Linked DNA regions of Saccharomyces cerevisiae S288C. The gene in region 1 interacts genetically with each later gene. Each region holds a gene or a part of one and is shown on either strand. Other genes may lie near its edges.

The links.
Region 2: mutations in HFA1 (region 1) and DCK1 together harm fitness less than expected from each alone (positive genetic interaction), as found in Saccharomyces cerevisiae (one large-scale study listed by BioGRID).
Region 3: mutations in HFA1 (region 1) and MCX1 together harm fitness more than expected from each alone (negative genetic interaction), as found in Saccharomyces cerevisiae (2 studies listed by BioGRID).
Region 4: mutations in HFA1 (region 1) and PHA2 together harm fitness more than expected from each alone (negative genetic interaction), as found in Saccharomyces cerevisiae (one large-scale study listed by BioGRID).

What each region holds. Positions count from the first base shown.
Region 1 is NC_001145.3:677,550-685,345, forward strand, and holds the start of HFA1 (acetyl-CoA carboxylase HFA1), read right to left. Parts: upstream 6,016-7,796; coding exon 1-6,015. Other genes in the region: ERG12 (mevalonate kinase), read left to right, coding at 6,918-7,796. UniProt on the Saccharomyces cerevisiae protein: Catalyzes the rate-limiting reaction in the mitochondrial fatty acid synthesis (FAS) type II pathway. Responsible for the production of the mitochondrial malonyl-CoA, used for the biosynthesis of the cofactor lipoic acid.
Region 2 is NC_001144.5:964,103-971,919, forward strand, and holds DCK1 (guanine nucleotide exchange factor DCK1), read left to right. Parts: upstream 1-1,794; coding exon 1,795-7,593; downstream 7,594-7,817. Other genes in the region: URA4 (dihydroorotase), read left to right, coding at 1-777; proteasome regulatory particle lid subunit RPN13, read right to left, coding at 988-1,458; protein kinase regulatory subunit ATG17, read right to left, coding at 7,815-7,817. UniProt on the Saccharomyces cerevisiae protein: Forms a transiant heterodimeric complex with LMO1, that acts as a guanine nucleotide exchange factor exchange factor (GEF) for the small GTPase RHO5. DCK1, LMO1 and RHO5 relocate to mitochondria upon oxidative stress and trigger cell death.
Region 3 is NC_001134.8:673,026-676,692, forward strand, and holds MCX1 (Mcx1p), read right to left. Parts: upstream 2,110-3,667; coding exon 547-2,109; downstream 1-546. Other genes in the region: YBR225W (uncharacterized protein), read left to right, coding at 1-304; SLX1 (endonuclease), read left to right, coding at 2,288-3,202; glucan 1,3-alpha-glucosidase ROT2, read right to left, coding at 3,332-3,667. UniProt on the Saccharomyces cerevisiae protein: ATP-dependent unfoldase that stimulates the incorporation of the pyridoxal phosphate cofactor into 5-aminolevulinate synthase (HEM1), thereby activating 5-aminolevulinate (ALA) synthesis, the first step in heme biosynthesis. Up-regulates heme biosynthesis.
Region 4 is NC_001146.8:41,544-45,031, forward strand, and holds PHA2 (prephenate dehydratase PHA2), read right to left. Parts: upstream 1,533-3,488; coding exon 528-1,532; downstream 1-527. Other genes in the region: cleavage polyadenylation factor subunit PFS2, read left to right, coding at 1-473; ATP11 (Atp11p), read right to left, coding at 1,781-2,737; DAL82 (Dal82p), read left to right, coding at 2,904-3,488. UniProt on the Saccharomyces cerevisiae protein: Catayzes the decarboxylation/dehydration of prephenate to phenylpyruvate.

The DNA.
Region 1 (7,796 bases):
GATTACTCCTTTAACTAGCATCCTAGTCGATCTATCATGTAAATCTGCAAACTGTATGCTGATTTGATTGTAAATTGGTATCAACTGTCTCTCTCTTATTTTCAATCTCTTCGTAAGATCATTTTGTTTTTCCAAAGATAACTTTTTTTCTGTCAACGTTCTTCTCAAATGTCCATATGTGGAGTCTAATCGAATCATCGTCTCTATCATTTTCTCCTTACGGTATTTTATGCTAACTACTCCGTCAGGTTCTAACACACCTCCCCTAGATTCAACATCGGCATACATTTCCATTTGTTCAGGATTAATAGTTGGATCTATAACAACCCATGATCCGCCCCTTAATTCACCAAAGGGCGGAATGTATATCAGTATGGGTTGTTTGTAGTCAACCAGAGCGTCAACAATAAAAGACCCGTACTTTAGTACTTCATTGTACATATCCCTTTGACCGCCAGAAAATCCCCTCCAATTGGCTAAGATAATCAATGGTAATTGCTCACCATAGTTAAAATCATTTATAGTTTGAGCTGTTTTGAACGCGGAATTTGGATACCACACCTGTCCTGCTTCTTTAACGGAAAACTCTGAAGAATCCAGATTAGCTGGGTCAGCGGGGATTATTTCTTCGATAGTCTTAGTTTCTACCGCAATAACACCCACGGGAATACCTCCAAGACGTGCTCTTCCAACTATTACACCTTTGGCCCATCCAGATAATGTCTCAAAAAACGAATCCTTATCAAATAGGCCTGACTGGAAGTTGTTATTTGAGTCCCATTTACCCTCTATCAACCACCTTGCCTCATATGGCACTTGCTTGGCAGGTTTGAAGTCTACATCCCTATCCCATCTATCCATAGTTTCAAGAAGTGGAGGACTCATATCTCTTTTCGCCGGGACATATGATAACCATGTCATTATTTTTTCGATGGCTTTCATATCATTACTGGCTGTTAAATGCGCTATTCCGTTTTTATACATGATTTGGGTTCCGCCAATTTGTAGGTTAGATGTATAGATATCGGTACCCAAAACTTTATTAATCGCCGATGCACCCGTCAGTATGATAGGCTTATCCTCCACCTGAATAGTACGTTGTCCTAGTCTGACCAGATAGGAACCTATACCAACGGACCGACAAGTAACAGCAGTAATAGTGAAAATGTCTCTATACGCTTTCGAAGTGGCACCAGCAATTAAACCCGAGCCCTGTAAACATTCAACACCTAAACCCTCTTCGAATCCGACTATTGCTTTAATAATATATCTCTCTTCACCGTATACCATCTTGTGTTCAACAACAACCGAATTTCCTTTCCCAGAATCTTTCAGTAGCTGCATGTCTTTTGGAGCTAAGTATAAGTACTGGAAACCCTTTGTTGGATCAGAGGGGTCATTCCATGCTACACGAAATAGAGGGATCAGCTCTTCGGCTATACCCAATTTAGCTCCTGAATTCGCCGCCAAGTATATCCTCGGGATCCCTCTCTCTCTTGCATAATTTGTGACCCTATCAAAAAACAAATCTTCTCTCGGTCCAAAAGATCCAATATTGTAGGTAATATCATTAGAAATCACGATCATGTTACGCCCTTCAGGATATTCAGGTGTCTGAACCATAATCTCAAAAGCAACCATCCCTATATTATTAAGGCCTGGCTCCCTGTTTACTTTTATTAAATTACCGTTTTGTTCTATCAATTCAACCCAACTAAAAAAACTGTCATTCAGCTTATGTTTTGGAAAATACCTTTTCCACTGTTGGATTGCAGCTTGATGAAACAGACCTGGGAAATCGTACACATATGTTGTACCCATGAATTGAGCTTTGTACCTTTTAGGTTGTAGCCAATCCTTGACCGAGTAAGGAAGAGAGAGAGATTTCTGGCTATAATGGCTCTGCTCACTACACGGTTCCAAAATCAGATTCCCATTTTTCCCTATCTTTTCGTAATATGTCTCAATTTTTACCACATACCCAGATTTATTAGAAATAAGTAATCTAAGCGGGGCTGGCTTCTTTGTTTCTAGGCACTCAACAGAGATGCAAATTTCTACATCTGTGATTCTTTCTTGAAACAATCTGGTTTCGTGAGTCTTTAGAATTGTACTCACAATTTCCTCGAGACGATGTACTGGTATGTTAAGAACTGTATTGAAACTTAAAAAAATATGATTCAAGTCTGAATTTGAGATGTCAACTGCTCCTAGATGTTCTAACATATAAACCACTTGAGCATTGATTTCCGCTTTCAAGTTTTCTTCGGTTGTTTTTTGATCATTATACATGAAGGAATTTATGATTTTCCTGACAAAGAACCTTTTATCTAGCGGCGTAAATTTGCTAATACCTTCAAAAATGCGTATACTACTATCGTATGTAGGTAGTGATCTGATTTTATAGTTCGACATTTTTCCTAACTCTAACGGTGCTTCATAGGATGGATCCATATTTCTTATTTGAGAGATTTCATCGTACGTAGTTCCATCAAAGGAGTAAAATTTAACAGCGGGCGCATTCGCGGCGATAAATGCAAATGTAATACGATTAACCTTGAGCTTGGATAGACCTCTCTCATTTTCATGAAGTTTAATTTTTAAAGTTTTAATTAGATCATTTTCACTTCTGTAACGAATAGGAGATAAAATATTAACAATAAGAGAGTTCTCTCCGCTGGAAAGTCTTTCCTCAGGAATATGAATTTGTTCGTATACCTCGTCTAATGTCTTTTCCAGAGATTCAAGCGCACGCATGTTGACAAGAAGACCAAAACTATTTGCTGAGCTCTTACCTGATGTTGAGGGAGGTTTAGAAAGTTTTGTAAACTCATCACTCTCACCATCAGAATTGACTAAATAATTTCTTAATGAGCTGAATTGCCATGACATTAGTAAATCAGGCGCTCCTTTATGAATCTTAATACTTTTTAATTGATAATTGCCGTAGGCATACCTTGCATAAATTTCAGATGCTATACTGGAAAGAGCCGTATCTTGATGGCCAAAAAAAAAGAACAAATCCTGAAGTTGTATCAGATTTGAATGTATTAAATTACCAAAATCCCTCATACAGGAATATATGTTCCTGCTGTGAATGTTTTCGGCACCAGTATCCTTTATGTGCAATTGCAGGAGAGTTTTAATATGCTCTTTTCTTTTCTTTATGGGAGGGAAAATCCCTCTGAGTAGCACTGATCTTGCCTTTACAGCAACCTCTTTAGCCCACTTAGATTCCAAACTTGCCAAATCATGTATAACAGCCCTGAATTTTAAAGACATCTTAGAGGAATCCTGGCACAATGGCTCGTATTCATGCAATATTGCAGTTACTAACTTGTTCTTTGCGACTACGTTAGCATGCGATAAACTTATGCACAAAATTTTTTTCAAGTTTGTAAGGTCTTTCCTCCGCAGATTTAGTAAGTTTCTTTCTTCATGTATATCATGATTTTCAAAAATTTTCTCAACAGCATAGTACTTTTTAATCAACTTTAAAAAAATTTCACATTCGTGATTAGCTAAACCTTCGCTATACCTTTCACTAATTTTAAGAAGTGGCTGTAAGGCAACATAAACTACATGATCATTTGTATTTTCTTCCAAGTAGCGCTTCATTAATTTGTGCAGTTCCTTTGCAGGAAAAGAAACAGATTTCTTGACTAGATTTCCCAGCCCCTCATTCAATTGCCTTGGTAGTCTATTGCGTACCGTAGAAATTTGGGAATCCCATTCTGAATAAGGAAGCCTACCATCTCTCAATATTTTTATCAACTCTTTTAGAGTAGTTTCTATTCCAGAGTTTTCATGATATCCATTGAGAATATTTTCTAACCTATTTATTAAGACTCTGAGCTTATGGTTTGGTCGGCTACCCTCTATTAGCGGTGGACCTAAAACAGGTAATTCTCCGCGGTATAAAGACGATTCGTTAGCTTTGGACGGCGAATCCAAAGTCAATTTTGCGATGACATCACCAGCCTCAATTATGGAACCGGGCTGTCTTAGTAACTCAATTACACCATCACTTTTCGCTACTAGTGGCATCTGCATTTTCATTATTTCTATTTCTGCATATTGCTGTCCAGCAAAAACGTGATCACCACTTCGGACCAAATATTTCACCAATTTCCCCGGAGTTGGAGAGATCACTTGAGTGGGATTGAGTTCAGCTTCTAAAAATATGGTATTGGAGTCTATCGAAAGTCTTGTACCTCTGATATCGTCCTTCCAATAAACTGTATGGCATTTACCGTCAACGGAGATCAACAAGCAGTCACTGGACAATTTTTGAACATTAACTTCACATTGAGACTTATTGATAGAAAGAATAAATTGTTCTTCAGATGATTGAGCAACATTGAACAAGTATCTATTATTATCGAAAATGAAGTCAACAGGAAACTTCGTTTTAAGAAAATCTTTAGGTGGAACTTGGCCCCTCCGCAATAATTCCAAATACTTATTCCTCACCTTTTCTGTGAAAACGTATGCTTTCATTGCGGCACCACAGATAATAGCGAGCGTTGGATCTAGTTTGCTATCGGAAGATAAATTTTTCAAAATCAAATCATCTAACCAACCAGTCGATATGTTATTACTCTCAAAGTCCCGAGTTTCTAATAGCTCTATCAGGTACTCTATGGGGGTTTTGAATTCTCCTCGGATGGAAAAATCTTTTAGAGCTAAAACCATGTTTTGCTTTGCATCTTGCCTATCGTTTCCTACAGCAAAAATGTGCCCAAATTGGGAATCTGAAAATGAGTGAATAGCACCATTATTTCCTACTGAGAAGTAACCCCAAACATTGGAAGAAGAACGAAAATTGAGCTCATGTATTTTCCCAGTGGAGGGCTTGAAACCTTCATTAGGATCTTCTGAAGTGATCCTGCATGAAATACAATGGCCTTTTGGCGAGGGTCTCTTTAAATTTTTAAAATCAATATACGAAGTTCCCGTTGGATCTAAACCATAAAGTTTTCTGATATCACTTATCATGTGCATAGGAATGCCCATGGCGATTTGCAGTTGAGTGGCAGGAAGGTTTACGCCAGATATCATTTCTGTCGTTGGATGCTCTACTTGTAGTCTCGGATTCAGTTCTAAAAAGTAAAATTTATCATCTTTTGGTGAATATAAGTATTCGACAGTGCCCGCAGAAACATAACCTACCAATTCACCTAGACGAATTGCTGCGCGTTCCATCCTTTGAAACGTTTCAGGCTTGGTTATTGTCACTGGTGCCTCTTCTATAATCTTTTGGTGCCGCCTTTGTATGGAACAGTCTCTCCCAAACAATGTAATGTTAGTGCCATATTGGTCAGCTAATAACTGTACCTCTAAGTGACGAGCATCAGTGACAACTTTCATAACAAACATAGGCGACCCAGGTGTCTCATTCACTGCTTGGCGATATAATGCAATAAAATCATCCTCATTATCTACTCGCCTAATGCCCTTACCTCCACCACCTTCGGATGCCTTAATCATTACAGGAAATCCTATTAATTTAGCCTTTTCTAAAGCATCTTCAGGTGAGGAACAACATCCCCTTACATATACATCATCCGGCACAGATACAAAGTTCGTCTTGTTATCGATATGGATAGTGTCTATATGTGAACCAGACCAAGGGATACACGGGATTTTAGCGCTTTGTGCTACAATAGTGGAAGAAATCTTGTCACCCAATGATCTCATAGCGCGTCCAGGAGGACCAATGAATAGTATTTTCCTTTGTGAACTAGCTAACAGCTCAGGAAGACACGGATTTTCAGAAGCATGGCCCCATCCAGCCCAGACCGCATCCACATCCGTTTGCTCTGCCACGTCCAGTATTAAGTCTATGTTGGCGTAATTGTTGTTGTTGGTACCCCCTGGTACCTGCACATATTGGTCTGCCATTCTAATATACTCCGAATTTGCGTGTAAATCATCAGGTGTCGCCATTACCACGAATTGAATGATTTTTTCATCATTGAACGTCTCGTACGCCCATTTTCTTATAGATCTCATTTCTTTCACCGCAGCAATACCATTGTTTGCTATTAAGATCTTTGAAATAACAGTATGTCCACCACGTAAATCAACAAAATCTCTTAATATTGAAGGTTGGGCACTTTCCACAGTATTTAGCCCTATGAACTGGGGCGGTAATCGAGTATGTTTATGAATATTGCCTCGATCCACATAATTGGAATACCTTCTTCTAGATGGAAAATTCAAACCTATTCGAGATGAATGCCTATACGAATGGGCAAAAATGCGTTTTCTGTATTCAGGGCGCTGTCCTTTCAACCGTACTATCTGGCTGCCCGTTATATTATAGAATCGATAAGGATCCAAATATAACGCGAGCTTGTACTGTCCTATTCGAATGCAAGTAATTGTGAATATGGTAATGTAAAAGTGAGAATGTATCCGGCGAGCCCCCCAGCTTTGGCCGTGTGTAATTGTCTTCCCTTTCTACCCAAGATGACTTCTTCTTTATCATTCTTCATTATTCATCTTTTCTTGTCATCTGCCGCCCACCCATTTTAGTTACCCTAACGGAAACATTGATGAATGATGCTATTATTACTGTCATAAGCAATAAAAAGAGAGGTTCCTACTACTTCTCCCGTGGAAAGCTAGCGATAGCCTTGTACTCTATCTCACTTTCAGAATGCGTACACATTTATGTTTAAAGAGGCGTTTTGTGCTAGTTTTGTCTCAACGTGTATTTTATCGGTTGTAATTGTACTGACAATTTTCGGGCCTCGTTTGGCTGTCGCACTGAAATCTTCGACAGGGTATCGAAGAACGATACAACGATATGCCTATAAAGGTTAGTTAGCCATGATATTACTTCCTGGTTAGCTGGTGCGCTTCTTAGTCCTAACTTGCAAATTTATATCTACGTATAGAAAACTGTCAATATGTCATTACCGTTCTTAACTTCTGCACCGGGAAAGGTTATTATTTTTGGTGAACACTCTGCTGTGTACAACAAGCCTGCCGTCGCTGCTAGTGTGTCTGCGTTGAGAACCTACCTGCTAATAAGCGAGTCATCTGCACCAGATACTATTGAATTGGACTTCCCGGACATTAGCTTTAATCATAAGTGGTCCATCAATGATTTCAATGCCATCACCGAGGATCAAGTAAACTCCCAAAAATTGGCCAAGGCTCAACAAGCCACCGATGGCTTGTCTCAGGAACTCGTTAGTCTTTTGGATCCGTTGTTAGCTCAACTATCCGAATCCTTCCACTACCATGCAGCGTTTTGTTTCCTGTATATGTTTGTTTGCCTATGCCCCCATGCCAAGAATATTAAGTTTTCTTTAAAGTCTACTTTACCCATCGGTGCTGGGTTGGGCTCAAGCGCCTCTATTTCTGTATCACTGGCCTTAGCTATGGCCTACTTGGGGGGGTTAATAGGATCTAATGACTTGGAAAAGCTGTCAGAAAACGATAAGCATATAGTGAATCAATGGGCCTTCATAGGTGAAAAGTGTATTCACGGTACCCCTTCAGGAATAGATAACGCTGTGGCCACTTATGGTAATGCCCTGCTATTTGAAAAAGACTCACATAATGGAACAATAAACACAAACAATTTTAAGTTCTTAGATGATTTCCCAGCCATTCCAATGATCCTAACCTATACTAGAATTCCAAGGTCTACAAAAGATCTTGTTGCTCGCGTTCGTGTGTTGGTCACCGAGAAATTTCCTGAAGTTATGAAGCCAATTCTAGATGCCATGGGTGAATGTGCCCTACAAGGCTTAGAGATCATGACTAAGTTAAGTAAATGT
Region 2 (7,817 bases), on another chromosome or scaffold:
AATTCGGCTGCTGGGGTGGATCCAAATGACTTCAGCGCATTTTACCCAATTTTCAAGGCTATGCAAGAAGAGAACCTGGTATTAAATTTGCATGGGGAAAAACCTTCTGTCCATGATGGAGACAAAGAACCTATTCATGTATTGAATGCAGAGGAAGCCTTTTTGCCAGCCTTGAAAAAATTGCATAATGATTTCCCAAACCTGAAAATAATTCTGGAACACTGCACTAGCGAGTCGGCAATAAAGACAATCGAGGATATAAATAAGAACGTGAAGAAAGCCACTGACGTAAAGGTTGCTGCCACATTAACGGCTCATCACTTATTTTTAACAATTGATGATTGGGCCGGAAATCCGGTAAATTTTTGCAAACCTGTTGCGAAACTTCCAAATGACAAAAAGGCTCTAGTCAAAGCTGCTGTATCAGGGAAACCATATTTTTTCTTTGGATCTGATTCAGCACCTCATCCTGTACAAAATAAGGCCAATTACGAGGGTGTTTGCGCAGGAGTTTACTCACAATCTTTTGCGATCCCTTATATCGCCCAAGTTTTTGAAGAGCAAAATGCCTTGGAGAACTTAAAGGGCTTTGTTTCCGACTTCGGAATTTCCTTTTATGAGGTTAAAGATAGCGAAGTGGCTTCTTCAGATAAGGCAATATTATTCAAAAAAGAACAAGTTATCCCTCAGGTTATCAGCGATGGCAAAGACATAAGCATCATCCCATTTAAAGCAGGTGATAAACTAAGTTGGTCGGTGAGATGGGAACCTCGTTAATATGCAACAATATGTAGGCTCATTTGAGAGTATAGACCATATATACATATTTATGGGAAAAATAAACTTACCTTCCAATAGAAGTTATAGATGCCATCATCATGCCTATTGTTATGGTCCGTATCTCTTTACAGAAGTTCACAGCCAAATGCGTTGATATGGTATATTTTTTCTCTTCAGTTTTTTATCAAAAAATGCCACAACCTTGATTTAATCTTGCATACTAACATCCACATCTTGAGCTTTTTGCTTTTCGTCATTGCTTTCTTCCTCATCACTTTCACTACTATTATTCAGCACTCCAATCATCTTATTGTAAATTTCTTTATCTTTCGCACTCAATTCATTTAAGGGCAAATTACCTGAGTTCTTCTCTTGCAGCCAAAAGAAGTACCTTTCGTTGGATGAAAAAACTAAAGCAAATATTCTGCCACTTTTACTGGATTTTATTGGAACCCACATGGTCTCTCCAGGAATTAAAATCAAAGAAATAGGATCAAGTTCCCTCCCGACCGGCTTTTCCGTTGGACGCCACTCGAAATCCCAAAATCCCAATTCTTCCTCTTCATTTGGTTTGATCTCGATTTCACCCTGAACTGGAATTGGCGTACATAGACGTGAATCTTCGTTGTATTCACAAACACCAGCCCTGAATTTAATTACAGTTGAACTCATACTCATCAACACTCTTTTAAAATTTATAAGTCAACCAGCACTTAGGTAGTTTTCTGGCACCCTTATAGAACCTAATCTACTGGTCATAGTAGAGTATTTAGTAGCAAAGCTTTCGCCACCTCGCGAATAATATATCACGAAATACGGAGGAATTTTAACTGAAATATATCAATAACGCATATCAAGGAGGGGATGACTTGATGAGTTGAAAATAATATAAATGGTTCAAGCAACCGTTTGTACACCACTCAGTCAATTATTGCTTCAATTGAAATTATAGAGGACCGAAGATTAGTCATATAAAACAGGGGTCTTTTTTTCTTTAGGGAGATTACTATTACAATGTCGCAACAGGATTCACAGCGCTGGCTGCCCACGGATCGGCTAATATATGGTGTGCTAGTCAAATCTTTCCTTCCCTTACAAAGGTATCCTGAGCTGGTATATGAAAACAGCAATTATGCGAACGTTTATGTGGGTGCAGAAGTTTACGTCTTCGAAGAATCTGTGGATAAGAAATGGTGTAGAGCGTACCAATGTTTACGACCCTTTCCTGAAGAATTCATATCGAATATGAACTCGGCGAATGATGTACTGCCAGACGTGAAACCGAAAGTAGTGATATTTCCTAGAAAATATGTTCATTTTGAAGCAGAAAAAGCCGTCAGCACAATGCCATTTTTCAAAGCACCTAGTGCTGAGGATTTTAAACCATTGATAAGTAAAGAATGTGAGTCCCGCTCCTTTTGTGACAGCCTATATGTTAGCTCTACTGATGATATATCAACTGGTAAACCAAGAAAGACACCGAGACCTCCGTTCCCCTTTTTCAGATACCAAAAGAGGTCCTTTAAGGACGAAATGGGTCCTATATTATCTCTTATTTCCTCGCATGTTTACTCTATGTATTCAATTGGCGAGTTTTCTATATATAGGAAAATGATAAAACTTTATTATGATTTGGACACTATACGATTTAGATTGTCTATGAATTTAACCACAGAGGCTGAGAAAATAAATCTGATAAGAGCAGCAACATCCCTAAGAACTAAAATCGCAAAATTTTTGTCCTCCACATACAGGAAGAATAAACTAATTGCTAACTCTACTCCAAGAAACCCAGATCCTTATGGTTTCGAAGGAATTTTTGCCAGGGATATTGATACTGGCGAATTGCTCTCATACGAGATCGACAAATTAAGAACTTTAGTGTCATCGTCAATGCTTTGTGGTTTAACTAATAATTTTCCTACTGTACCTGTGGTAGAGTCCGATGATGAGTCCTCATCTAACGGACTATTCGGCACAGTTAGATCGAGCATTTTGGTTAACTTGAAAGATCTGGCATGGGATCCCTCTATATCAGATCCTAAATATCAAGATCTTTCTATTTGTGTATACTTGAGAACCAAAGACGAAGTTTTAACAGAGTCTTTTACCATGACGAAGTCGTCCAATATGGAATCAGCTCTAGATGAAATTCCTGCAATGTTATTCAAGAATATTTTGGAAACGATAGTCCATAAAAATAAAGTATACTTAGTAGTAGTGCTGAAGGAAACAATAGCAATTACAACAGAAACTGCTCCGGAAATTTCATCTTACAATATATCTACCGAAGAGTCAAGTTCACATTCCCCATTTTCTCCATTTAATTCATCGACTGAGAATAAGATTGACCACGTAAAAAAGGGCTTAGCTGCCGGAGTTATTAACATATCTCCGGTATTCAAGTTTTATAACGGCCTATCAGTTGCGAATAAAGCTCAGAGGTTTAACCTTTATCTTTATAGCTCCGATTCCTCGGATTCGCAAAACTTCAACTCTTCAAAGGATGCGGATTTAGGTTGGGGCGGGTTAATAAATAAGATAATAAAAGATTCTTCTGAAGGCGTTTCTGTGAACCCTAGGGCTGTTTCTTTATCGGTAACTGTAAAGGAAATTATAGGCAAACAAGAGGCGGAAAAAGTGCTCTCCACATCTTTAGTACCGATAAGATCTATTCCCACATACTTTTATGATACCATGTTTAGCCAAGCAGAAAGAATTTATCTGAACTTAGGTAGGGTGTCGCTTTATGGACTTCCTGCAGCTGATACAAATATAGAAAATGTTACCGTTCAAATATCCTGCAGGAATAAGGCCGTAAAATTTTGCAAAAATAAGCTCGAAGAGAGATCTGGGGACTGGAAGTTTGTTTCAGTTCGTCCAAATGAGAGCATAGGCGAATCGATTAGAATAGAAGGGGTAGAGAACATGAACGAAGACGAGACATTAAGAGTATTGGTATATTTGAATGGATTTTTGATGGCAAAATCAAATATACATATCAAGAAAAAGAACGAAATCATAGAATATAGAAAGGGTACCGTATTCCAAATAATGTCATCCAAATCAGTACCTCTAATTCATTTAGAGCTTGAAGCATCATATTTTGGTCGGAGATATAATATCAACCCTGCCATTACAAATTTCTTAGTTCTTCAAACCAAAAATGTTGAATTCGACCAGCAACTTAAAGAGCACTATTCAGTTACATTGAAGCAGCTGAATAACGTTTCTTTTAAAGATTTACTAAAGCATTTTGACACAATTTTAGCACACTATTTGTTACTTCTTGAATCGGTGAATGAAGCTACTGATAAAAAAGGCCCTTCTTCAAGTTTACCCAATATTGTATTCAGTGAATTCGTCAAGTTTTTAAATTTAATGTTAACACACCAAGAAAACTCTAGATATTGGTTTAATAGACTGTACAAAAAAGTCATGTCAAAGGAACTAGAATGTCCCAATGTTGCACCGATACTAATAAAACATATGACAACGATCTTTGATAGGAGTCATTCTTCTTGGACTAGAACAGGAACTGCAATCTGCCGAACCATCCTGTACATAATTGTGTTGGCAATCGGTTCGTCTCATTCTGATGAAATGCCTAATTTCAGTCATTTTTTCAGAAGCTTGCACAAATTTTTAATGCTTGCTGATGAGCCAATAATGGCGGATCAAATTTTGTTAATAGAAAGTATTCCCTCTATGCTGGAGACAATGACCAATCACTGTAAGGTGGAAGACTTAGTTCGTTTTGCGATCGGACTGTTTGAATGTTGCCAGGAAAAAGAAATGAATCAAAAAATGTACTCCAGGCCACTCTCAGTTCGAGAAGAAGAATATTTGAATACAAAGTTTAATTGCCTGTTGAAGTTAATTAACAAGAAGGTTTTGCAAAATTATTTAACCAATACGGAATCCGTAGATAAACTGAGGTTACAGTTTTTATCTAAAACCCTTGAGTGGTTACTTACGCCGTATACTCCAGGCGATGACAAATGTTTTCACGTAGAATCCTTACGCTTGGTTAATTCTGTTTTCATTACAATAATCGAAGATTACAAATTTGACATGCTACAAAGGAACTTGATAAGGTTACTACCATATTTGTGTAAGTCCTTCGTCCATTTAAGAAGGTACTGTAAGAAAGCACGTTTAATGAGGCCTCGAAGAGTTTTTACCATGCTTTTTCCCAGAGAAATTCCATGCAACTACATACCGGTTGATTCAATAGTGAATGATGAAGTAGTCGTAGAAGTTCTTCTAGAGCTTGCCATCATAATTTGTGAAATAACGAAAATTGCATCAAGCAGATTTCCATCATATCAATCTTTCAGCGAAATCATAAACTTGTGCGATAAAGACACTCTTTTTCAATCAAATTTTTATTCACGACAAATCACGAATGAAAATGTCTATACAATAACCAAAACAGTTTTTTTGTTTTTTAAACAAGATTGGTTCCCAGGAATGAAGTGGCTTGGCGTATCAGCGTTATTAGGAAGATCGTCTCTAATATTGCTTAGTTTATGCAAGGATTATATCATAGAAAATAATTCACCTTCTCCATCAAAGGAGTCTGAAAAGAGGGTTGACATGCGACTTTGGGCAGAATATGTAAAAGTCATACTACTAGTTTCAAACCATAAAAGTGCATCCTTGACTAAGTTAGCTATTACTCCACGTAAGGCCGTTTATTTGATATCGGGTGACCTGAAAAAAATTTCAGCATATATCCTAAATGAATGTTGGGATGCCCTAGCCACTGGGCACTATAATATCACTTATGCTAAAAAGTATGGATTAGGAGCCTTGAGTGATTGCCAATTTGAATTGTTTGTTCATAATCAATTTTTGATACGTGAGATCTTTATTTTTGCTTTCCATAGACATATCGATGCAACAAGAATTTGTTGCAAAATACTATGGGGATTAGGGCTAAATTTTTGGAGGATATTTGGGTCCCTACAACCAGCAGTGAACGCATGTATCCCAGAATTATTCAGCGCATACCAAATCGGGAAGCTTCGTTTGAATGATTACGAATTGGAAAGGTTTGTTTCTTGTTTGTTTTTTATGATGCACGTTCCCGATTCTGACACCTTTTTTCCTGCTTGTATGGATTTCTTAAGAGATTTACTTGGTTTTTTGCATATTGTAAATGAAATCTACAAAATACCTAATCAAGAAGAATTTGATGATGATCGGACTGCTCGGCACATAGAGATGTTCGAGTACTTGCTAGAAGCAAACAGGCCAGAGTTGTTTCATAAAATGATATATGATTTGTTTATCCACTTTATTCAGAAAAAAGACTTTGTTCAAGCAGCTTTGAGTCTAGAACTCTTGGCAGGTACGTACGCTTGGGATTCTAATGATACTCTTGAAGCAATATCTTTCCCGCCATTGCCAGAGCAATCTTCATTTGAGAGGAAGGAATATCTTCTTAAGGAATCCGCAAGAAACTTTTCGAGAGGCCAAAAACCAGAAAAAGCTTTAGCGGTATACAAGGACTTGATAAAAGCCTACGATGAGATCAATTATGATTTAAACGGGCTGGCCTTTGTACATGACCAAATAGCAGGCATTTATACCAGATTACAGTCCATTGATAGACTGGTTCCAACGTATTTTAAAGTTTCTTTCATGGGATTTGGTTTTCCAAAATCATTAAGAAATAAATCGTTCGTCTTTGAGGGTCTCCCATTTGAACACATTACGTCTATGCATGACAGGCTTCTACGAAGCTATCATGGGTCAAATATTGTACACTCACAAGAAGAAGTGGATATGTTATTGATGAATCCTCCAATGGGAAAATACATTCATGTAGCTTCCGTCGAACCGTGCTTAAGTATATCCGATAATTACAACAGTAGTGACAAGAAAAGCTCAATTAACAACAAAGTGCGGATGTACATTGAGAATAGAGATTTGAGGACTTTCAGTAATTCTCGACGTTTGCCAGGCGCAAAAGGAGTCACTGACCTGTGGGTGGAGGAATATACGTATCATACTATGAATACTTTTCCAACACTAATGAATAGATCAGAAATTGTAAAGGTTACGAAGAGCAAACTTTCTCCACTTGAAAATGCAATTCGTTCCTTACAAGTTAAAATACAGGAGTTATATGGGCTTGAAAACATGTGCAATAAAACTCTGAAGGACCACGGTGATGTGAACGATTTATTTACCGAGCTTTCTACAAATATTACGGGAACAATATCAGCTCCAGTTAATGGAGGCATATCACAGTACAAGGCCTTTTTAGAACCCTCCACATCCAAGCAGTTCAGTACTGATGATTTAGGAAGATTGACGCTAGCTTTTGATGAGCTTGTTGCAGTATTAGGTCGCTGTCTAACGTTGCATGCAGAACTACTACCATCAAAGGATCTAAAACCATCACATGATCTTCTAGTGCGTCTTTTTGAGGAAAATTTCGCTGAGGAGATAGAAAGATATAGTCGTACTCTCAGTGAGGCCAATCGTAGCAGGAATAACATGATTACTGCTCGAATAATTTCGCACAAGAACCCCAATAAAAAGGCAAGCTTTTCTGGAAGGGATCATCACACCTCAGGGTCCAATCATAGCCAATTTGTATTAGAACATAGCGACTCATTTGGCCCAAACAGTTTACTTTTTGGAAAATATTTAACAAGAACGTTATCCCACTCGTCCACTACGAGCAGTTTGGATAAAAGTGGAATTGTTTCCGGCACTTCGAGCACCTTTTTGGCAGGGTCACAGCCAAACACCAACACAGATTCACAGCACAAGCATGATTACTCACATTCGGGATAATATGTCAGAAGTTGTTCACTATAAAATATACGCATATGTAATCATTTATTTATTCATTCATGACTTTTAGTTGAAAAGGGCACATTTTTCTTTGTCGTAAAAGTGAAGAAGACAGCGAATTTTTTCCTTTCTCCTTCAAGTATTGCTTTTTTGATAAAGTATTTTTCGAAATATTGATACAATTATTGAATCTTTGTACCGTATCCTTTTTTTCCTTTTTTCTA
Region 3 (3,667 bases), on another chromosome or scaffold:
ACACTTAACGAGGACATTCAAGGATGTAGGGTTTACAGGCATCAAGTCCTCGGTCCTAAGTTTGAAAACTGGTGACTTCAAAACAGATATGGGCTTTTTGAATGAATTTAATTCTTTAGATATGTGGGACTACATGTTAAGGAGGCAACTACCAGATAGTAGTTGTCCTCCAAAGGATACCGACCCCACCACTCTTTTCAAAAGATATGTGGAAGAACACATAGGAAAAATCGATGACAACGCTGGCTGCTTTAGAACTTTGTATGTGGTGGCGCAAAAGCCAAAGCTGCCATATACCAAATAATTGTGCCGCCGTTCCAATTTTTTTTTAAATTGTTCAAGAATTACTTCAATTTTTACTACTGGACAAAAAGCATTATGATAAGGAGTAGTCTCCCAGTATCGTAGAACCAATTTGAAACACTTTAGCCAATATTTATTAATTTTTTTTACTTCCCATGGCATAGTACTTTGTAGGAAGATTATTTGTTCATTTACTACATTTATTACATCTATATTTATATATTCTATACCATTCATTTTTTTTTATGTTAAGCTTCTCTTGGGAATTGTTGGGGTATGAATGTTAGCAGAATGACCCAACTCTTTTTCTAGCATAACTCCTAATTTTTTATCTTCTTCAGAAACGTCACGAATTAAACTGTCCTTTTCATCACCAGAATAGTATTTTACGTCCACTTGGGAAGCCAAAGAGTGCTCTGTTTCCTGTAACGAGTCGACAGTAGCTTCGTCGATTAAAACGTATGCTATGTTAGAACCCGGGCAATCATAATTAACGTTTAGCAGAAGTCTTTCCATTATCCCTCTCAACCCTCTGGCGCCAGTTCCTTCCTTGAGAGCAAATTGAGCAACTTTCTTTAGCGCCTTTTGTGTAACACACAATCTTACCCCAAATTGCTTAAAAATATATTCATATTGATCCAATAAGGCATTTTTAGGTTCTTTTAATATATGAAATAAATCGTCTCTTTGTAGAGGCTGCAGAGCAGTTATAATTGGGACTCTGCCAATTAATTCAGGAATTAGACCAAAGCTAACTAAATCTGTGGGGGTGGTCAAGTCTAAAGCACACACTTTTTTTCCGTTATCTAATTCAACCTGCTCAAGCGTATTGCTAAATCTGAACTTCTTCGCTCTTTCTTTTTCAACTTCTTTACTATTCGATGATTCAACAGACTCTCCTGCCTTCTGTATTTTCTTCATATCTTCTATCCTTTTAACAATATGCTTATCTAAACCAACAAAAGCTCCCATAATCATGAAAAGAATATTTGAAGTGTCTACAACAAATACTTCGTCCTTCTTTGTTGTAGTTTGATTTTTTTGTCCGTCAATATCATGCTTAACAGGCCTTTTAACGGTAATTTCCACTTTATGGCCCTCAATGATTTTCAATAATGACTGTTGAACCCCTTCTCCGGACACGTCTTTAGTGCCAATGCTTGCGGCAGGCTTGGCTAGTTTATCAATCTCATCAAGAACAATAATACCTTTTTCTGCTCTCGCAACATCAAATTCAGCATTTACGAGCAATCTTTCAATGCATACTTCAACATCTTCACCTATGTAACCTGCTTGAGTCAATTGTGTACAATCTGTAATTGCAATTGGAACGTTTAATATTTTCGCCAATGTTGTTGCCAACAAAGTCTTACCAGAACCTGAGGGACCAACGACAAGGACATTACTTTTGCTTAACTCTAAATCTTCGTCAACCTCTCTACCTGCTAAATTAAACTGTCTTTGAAGATTCCTCCAACCAGCCTTTGATTCGCTGTTTCCACTGAAAATTGGTTCATCCCTATCATCCGCGATTTTCTCTCGTTCCATCAATTCTCTCTGCCTTTGTAATTCCCCTTTCTTTTGCTTGTCATTGATTCTTAAATAGTGATTATAAACTGCCACGCTTAAAACCTTCTTACCAATCTCTTGACCAACAATGTACTCATCGAGGAATTTCTTCAATGCTTTTGGAGTGGGTATATTCGATAAACGAGACTGTGCCAGTTTCCCTGATGCTGTAGCAGCATATCGACCAATTCTACTAGAATAAGCTCTAAAAAAGTTTTGGCTTGCAGATTTCAACATGAGTGTGAAATGTAATTAGAGTGCCTTGTCTTCTATGGTTTTGTTTGATGAGCCGTTTGCTTTTCTTTTTAATTTTAATATATACCACTGATGACTTATTCCCTTCTATCATCGAAAAAATATTGTCAAATTAATGTTCTCTTTTTTCAAAAAATATTAAAAAGATAAGAAAGGTACCATGTCGCAGAAAATACAGCAGCATCAGTTTCCTGATTTTTATTGTTGTTATCTACTACAATCGATTAACAAGAGGCAATCATTTTACGTTGGATCAACTCCTAACCCAGTACGACGTTTGAGGCAGCATAATGGGAAATTGGCTGTTGGAGGGGCATATCGAACCAAACGTGACGGTTCAAGGCCCTGGGAAATGATAATGATTGTGCGGGGCTTCCCAAGTAAGATAGCAGCTTTACAGTTTGAACATGCATGGCAACATGGGTACCAAACGCATTATATTGCCGAAAAAGATCGTGTTGTAAAGCATAAAGCAGGTGGAAGAACTTTACATCACAAAGTTGCATTAATGAAGTTACTTTTAAAGCATGAATTTTTTCAAAGGATGAACTTGATAGTCGAGGTTTTTAATATAAAGGCTTGGGAGGTTTGGAAACAGGACAAATTTTTTATTGAAAGAGACAGATTTCCGATTAATATACAAATAAATGAAAATGCGCTTGAAGAACCAAAGGAGAAAACTGTGGATGTTCTCATGGATCATAGTGATGAGAATTTAAAAGTGGTGGAAGCTGTATACACTAAAGTCATTGAAAATGAAAGAAACATATTCGAAACTTTCGAAAAGAAACTAACTACAGGGGTAGTGCGATGTGAAATTTGTGAGAAAGAAATTGACTACACGTCTGAAGAGCAAAATCTGAAGCCGTTTGTAGCGCTTTGCAATAATAAAGACTGTGGGTGTGTTAACCACTTGAAATGTCTTCACAGGTACTTTCTAGATGATGAACAGTTGATGGTAGGGAGAAGAAATTTGATACCTCGAGGTGGGAAATGTCCGAAATGTGATATGTTTTGCGACTGGACGACCCTAGTCAAGTTTTCGACAAGAATGAAGTTAGCTCACGGGAAGTAGGGCCTGACACAATTTTCGGTTCTTTTTTTTCTATAGATAATGGTTATATGTTATATTTACGGATATTTTTACGTTTACTTTGTAAGAAAGAGCTAAAAAGATGTAAAGATATCACTTCGTTTTTTTCCCTCAAAAAATAACTTCCCAATCTTCAGTTATGTCAAGCGATAGGTTAAGAATGGTGATCTTATTATCATTCTCATATGACGATCTAGTCGGCAATGAACTTTCTTCGCCATTTTTTTTGACTTTAATACTGTCTTTCAACGTTATGTTGTGTTGTAAATTATTCTTTGCGATAATGATTTTTTCAATATTGGTATTCCTCAAAGTATTGTGGTGAATGCCTGTCAAATTCTCGGGAATATGACTTCGAACATTTTTTAAGGTATTGTTTTCGAAAATGAACTGAGTTTCTACGTACTCACCTCTTTGGTAGCCAAAAGTTTCTCCATCATCAACATA
Region 4 (3,488 bases), on another chromosome or scaffold:
CACTAGAATGGCACCCAATAAATGAATCTATGTTCACTCTGGCGTGCTATGACGGCTCGCTAAAGCATTTTGATCTTTTACAAAATCTAAACGAACCTATTTTGACTATTCCATACGCCCATGATAAGTGTATCACCTCGTTATCATATAATCCAGTAGGACATATATTTGCCACAGCAGCTAAGGATAGAACCATAAGATTTTGGACTAGAGCGAGGCCAATTGATCCTAATGCATATGATGATCCAACTTATAACAATAAGAAGATAAATGGATGGTTTTTTGGCATCAATAACGACATCAATGCTGTGAGAGAGAAGAGTGAATTCGGTGCGGCCCCGCCACCACCAGCTACACTTGAACCACATGCGTTACCAAACATGAATGGATTCATCAACAAGAAACCGCGTCAAGAAATCCCAGGCATCGATTCAAACATCAAGAGTTCCACATTGCCAGGTTTAAGCATATAAAAGTGCGCTTTGACGAGATTTTAGGATACATAAATAAAAAGACTATATAACATATTATTTGTGATAATATCTCTCATTTCTGGGGAATGTACCCCACAGGCACCACTGTTTACTTTTGTCGCTGATATCTTCATAGAATTTTTCTTTATTCTTTGGGGTATTCTTCTCGGTGTAATATTCAATGAAAAATAAATATCGCCAGTTTCTATCATGTTCGTCCAAATGGAATGGTCTAGAGTTTATAGAACACATGTTGAGTGAATGGATTTTTAGTATGTTCAAAACATCTACCAAAGAACCAGGGTCATCTTGACGAGTAGTAAAGGTGAGTAGGTTAACCCGTAGTAATCCAGTGTCTTCTACTTCATTGTCGCCTGCGTTCTCCCTTCTCTTCAATACTAAAAATCTTGTTGTATTTCCTAGCTTATCATTTATCGAATGTTCAATGATGTACGCCTTATGCAATTGGGCAGCTGTTTCACTAGCAATGGCTAAATGCAGAATGTTGTCGCAATCGGCCGTTGATGACCGAATGCATTGGTTCACTGATTCAGATGTGGAAGAACAATCCAATCTTATAAAGGTGACCTGCGGAAATTTTTCTGCCATGGACCTTAAGTAACATTCAACCTGGCCCCATACTTGCGGATGTGAGTGTATTATGACTTCTTCAAAATTTCCAAGGGATGCAATACCATTTGGTAGTTGGATTGGGCTGATTAGACAATGGGTAATGGGTACATATTGCTCCGCTATAACTTCTATATCTGGTGTAATTCTATTAGTATCTGCTGGAGCAGGTAAGGATAGGGCTTTTTTGATCATCCTATCACGCAAGAGATCATAGGAAAAAACTACTTGTCCATTGGTGGAATTTTCCAACGGTACCACTGAATAATCTATACTAGTGTCGTTCTCCAATTGGTTAAAACATTGGGGGATAGAGGCTGCTGGGAGGTACTCAACATCAGATGTTGATTGAAATTGTTGTAATGCAGCTTGATGGGAATACGTACCTTTGGGACCCAGAAAAAGAACCCTCAAAGTCTTGCTGGCCATAATTGAAGGATGAATGCGGAAATATAATGAAGTTGCTTTTCGTACTTTTTTAGCCTGTTCTTTCTGCGTATTATATTCATCTACTAAAATTTTTATTTTCATTTTTCATTATGAAAATACAAGAGTCATGCTGATAACTGTGTAAAGAAACTGTACGCTTGTCGCAGATGATGTAGTACGTATTTTATTTACAGGTGTCATTAATATATATATATATATATATATACGTATACGGAAGTAATTCTTCGTTAATTTTCCATGGACTGTGATAGCGAAATCAATTTCTCGACGGTGAATCCCGGAGAGGCCTTAGAGAAATCTCTTAACAACTGCACTCTCTGTTTAGCAACTGGAGTTTCTTCACCCATTGCACCATAAAACCTTTGCACGTTTAGCAATAACAGCTGTGCATCCTGTACATTCACGTTTGTATCCGGTTCAACATGGCCATTCATAAAAACAATTCCCTTATCCTTGACCAAATCAGAATGGAACTGCAAGGTAGTATGTGGCCTTGCAAATTCCTGGTGTAGTTTGTATTCTGCTAGGGAAGTCATCATACAATGTGTTGTTTGGGGTCCGACAAACTGCCATTGGATGTAGTGTAGTTCCATTCCCTGTTCTTCGTTCGGTTTTGCATCCTCAGATTGAACTTGTCTAGGAAGTGGCAACACGAATATAGGGTTATTCCTGGCATTTGCCATCATCTTATCATAAACGGAGACAGGAATCACAGCGCATAATGTATTATCTTTTTGTGCCCATCTTGCTCTCCAAAGAAACTCTACTTCCTGTTTCGATAAGTCCTTCAGTTTTCCAACATCCAAAAAAGAGTCCAATGTTTTGAAGGGAACTTTAGGAGCACTTGGATCGAGAGGACTTCTTGATTTCGTCATCAAATGCTTGGAGTTGTTATTTTCCATTTGAGTTTTTTGTTGGTAATCCTCTAGTTCTTTCAGGGGGTCGATTTTATTAAATTCCCGCTTCTTAGACTCTATAGTCTCTTTCAAATGATTTTTCAACTCTTCTATGCTGTTAAAACCTTGTTTTTGAGCCTCTTCCAAAAGTTTCTTTCTATACTTCTGCTCTGGGCTGGAAGAATAAAAACGAAAAACAGGAACTGTTCCAATTGCCTTGTTAAAAATGGGCGACAGCTGATTAGAAATATGGATTCTAGTGCCGATTTTTCTGGTTAGTCTCCACATAGTTATTCTTAAATCTCTTTTGTTCTCTATTTTCAAGTCTTGATAAGTTCTTCACATCCTTCGATTACGGCGTCAAAATAAGCGTTATTTCCATTCGGGTGAGTTGAACCATTGATAACAACATGGTTTAACGATACTTTGAAAGGTTTAGGCGGAGCCAACCATAATGGATGAATCGGTGGATCCTGTGGAGCTGCTTCTACGACTACTGATACGGCACAAACCTCATCTGAAACCATATGCCTACAGACAAGATAGCTGGCAAAGGGTGCTCGATGAGTACAACAGACAGACTGGGTCAAGATATAGACAATCAAGGACGTTAAAAACCAAATTTCGTCGACTGAAGGACCTCTTCAGCGCAGATCGAGCCCAATTCTCTCCTTCCCAGTTGAAGCTGATGGGAGCACTCTTGGACGAAGCACCAGAACATCCAAGACCAAGAACTAAATTCGGAAATGAATCATCTTCATCCTTATCATCATCTTCTTTCATTAAAAGTCATCCGGGGCCTGATCCGTTTCAACAATTATCATCCGCTGAACATCCGAATAACCACAGCTCCGACGATGAGCATTCAGGCTCACAACCGCTGCCCCTGGATTCAATAACGATTGGAATTCCGCCTACTCTTCACACAATCCCCATGATTCTGTCTAAGGATAACGACGTCGGGAAAGTCATCAAAAGCCCTAAGATAAACAAGGGTACAAATAGGTTCAGCGAGACAGTACTGCCTCCACAAATGGCT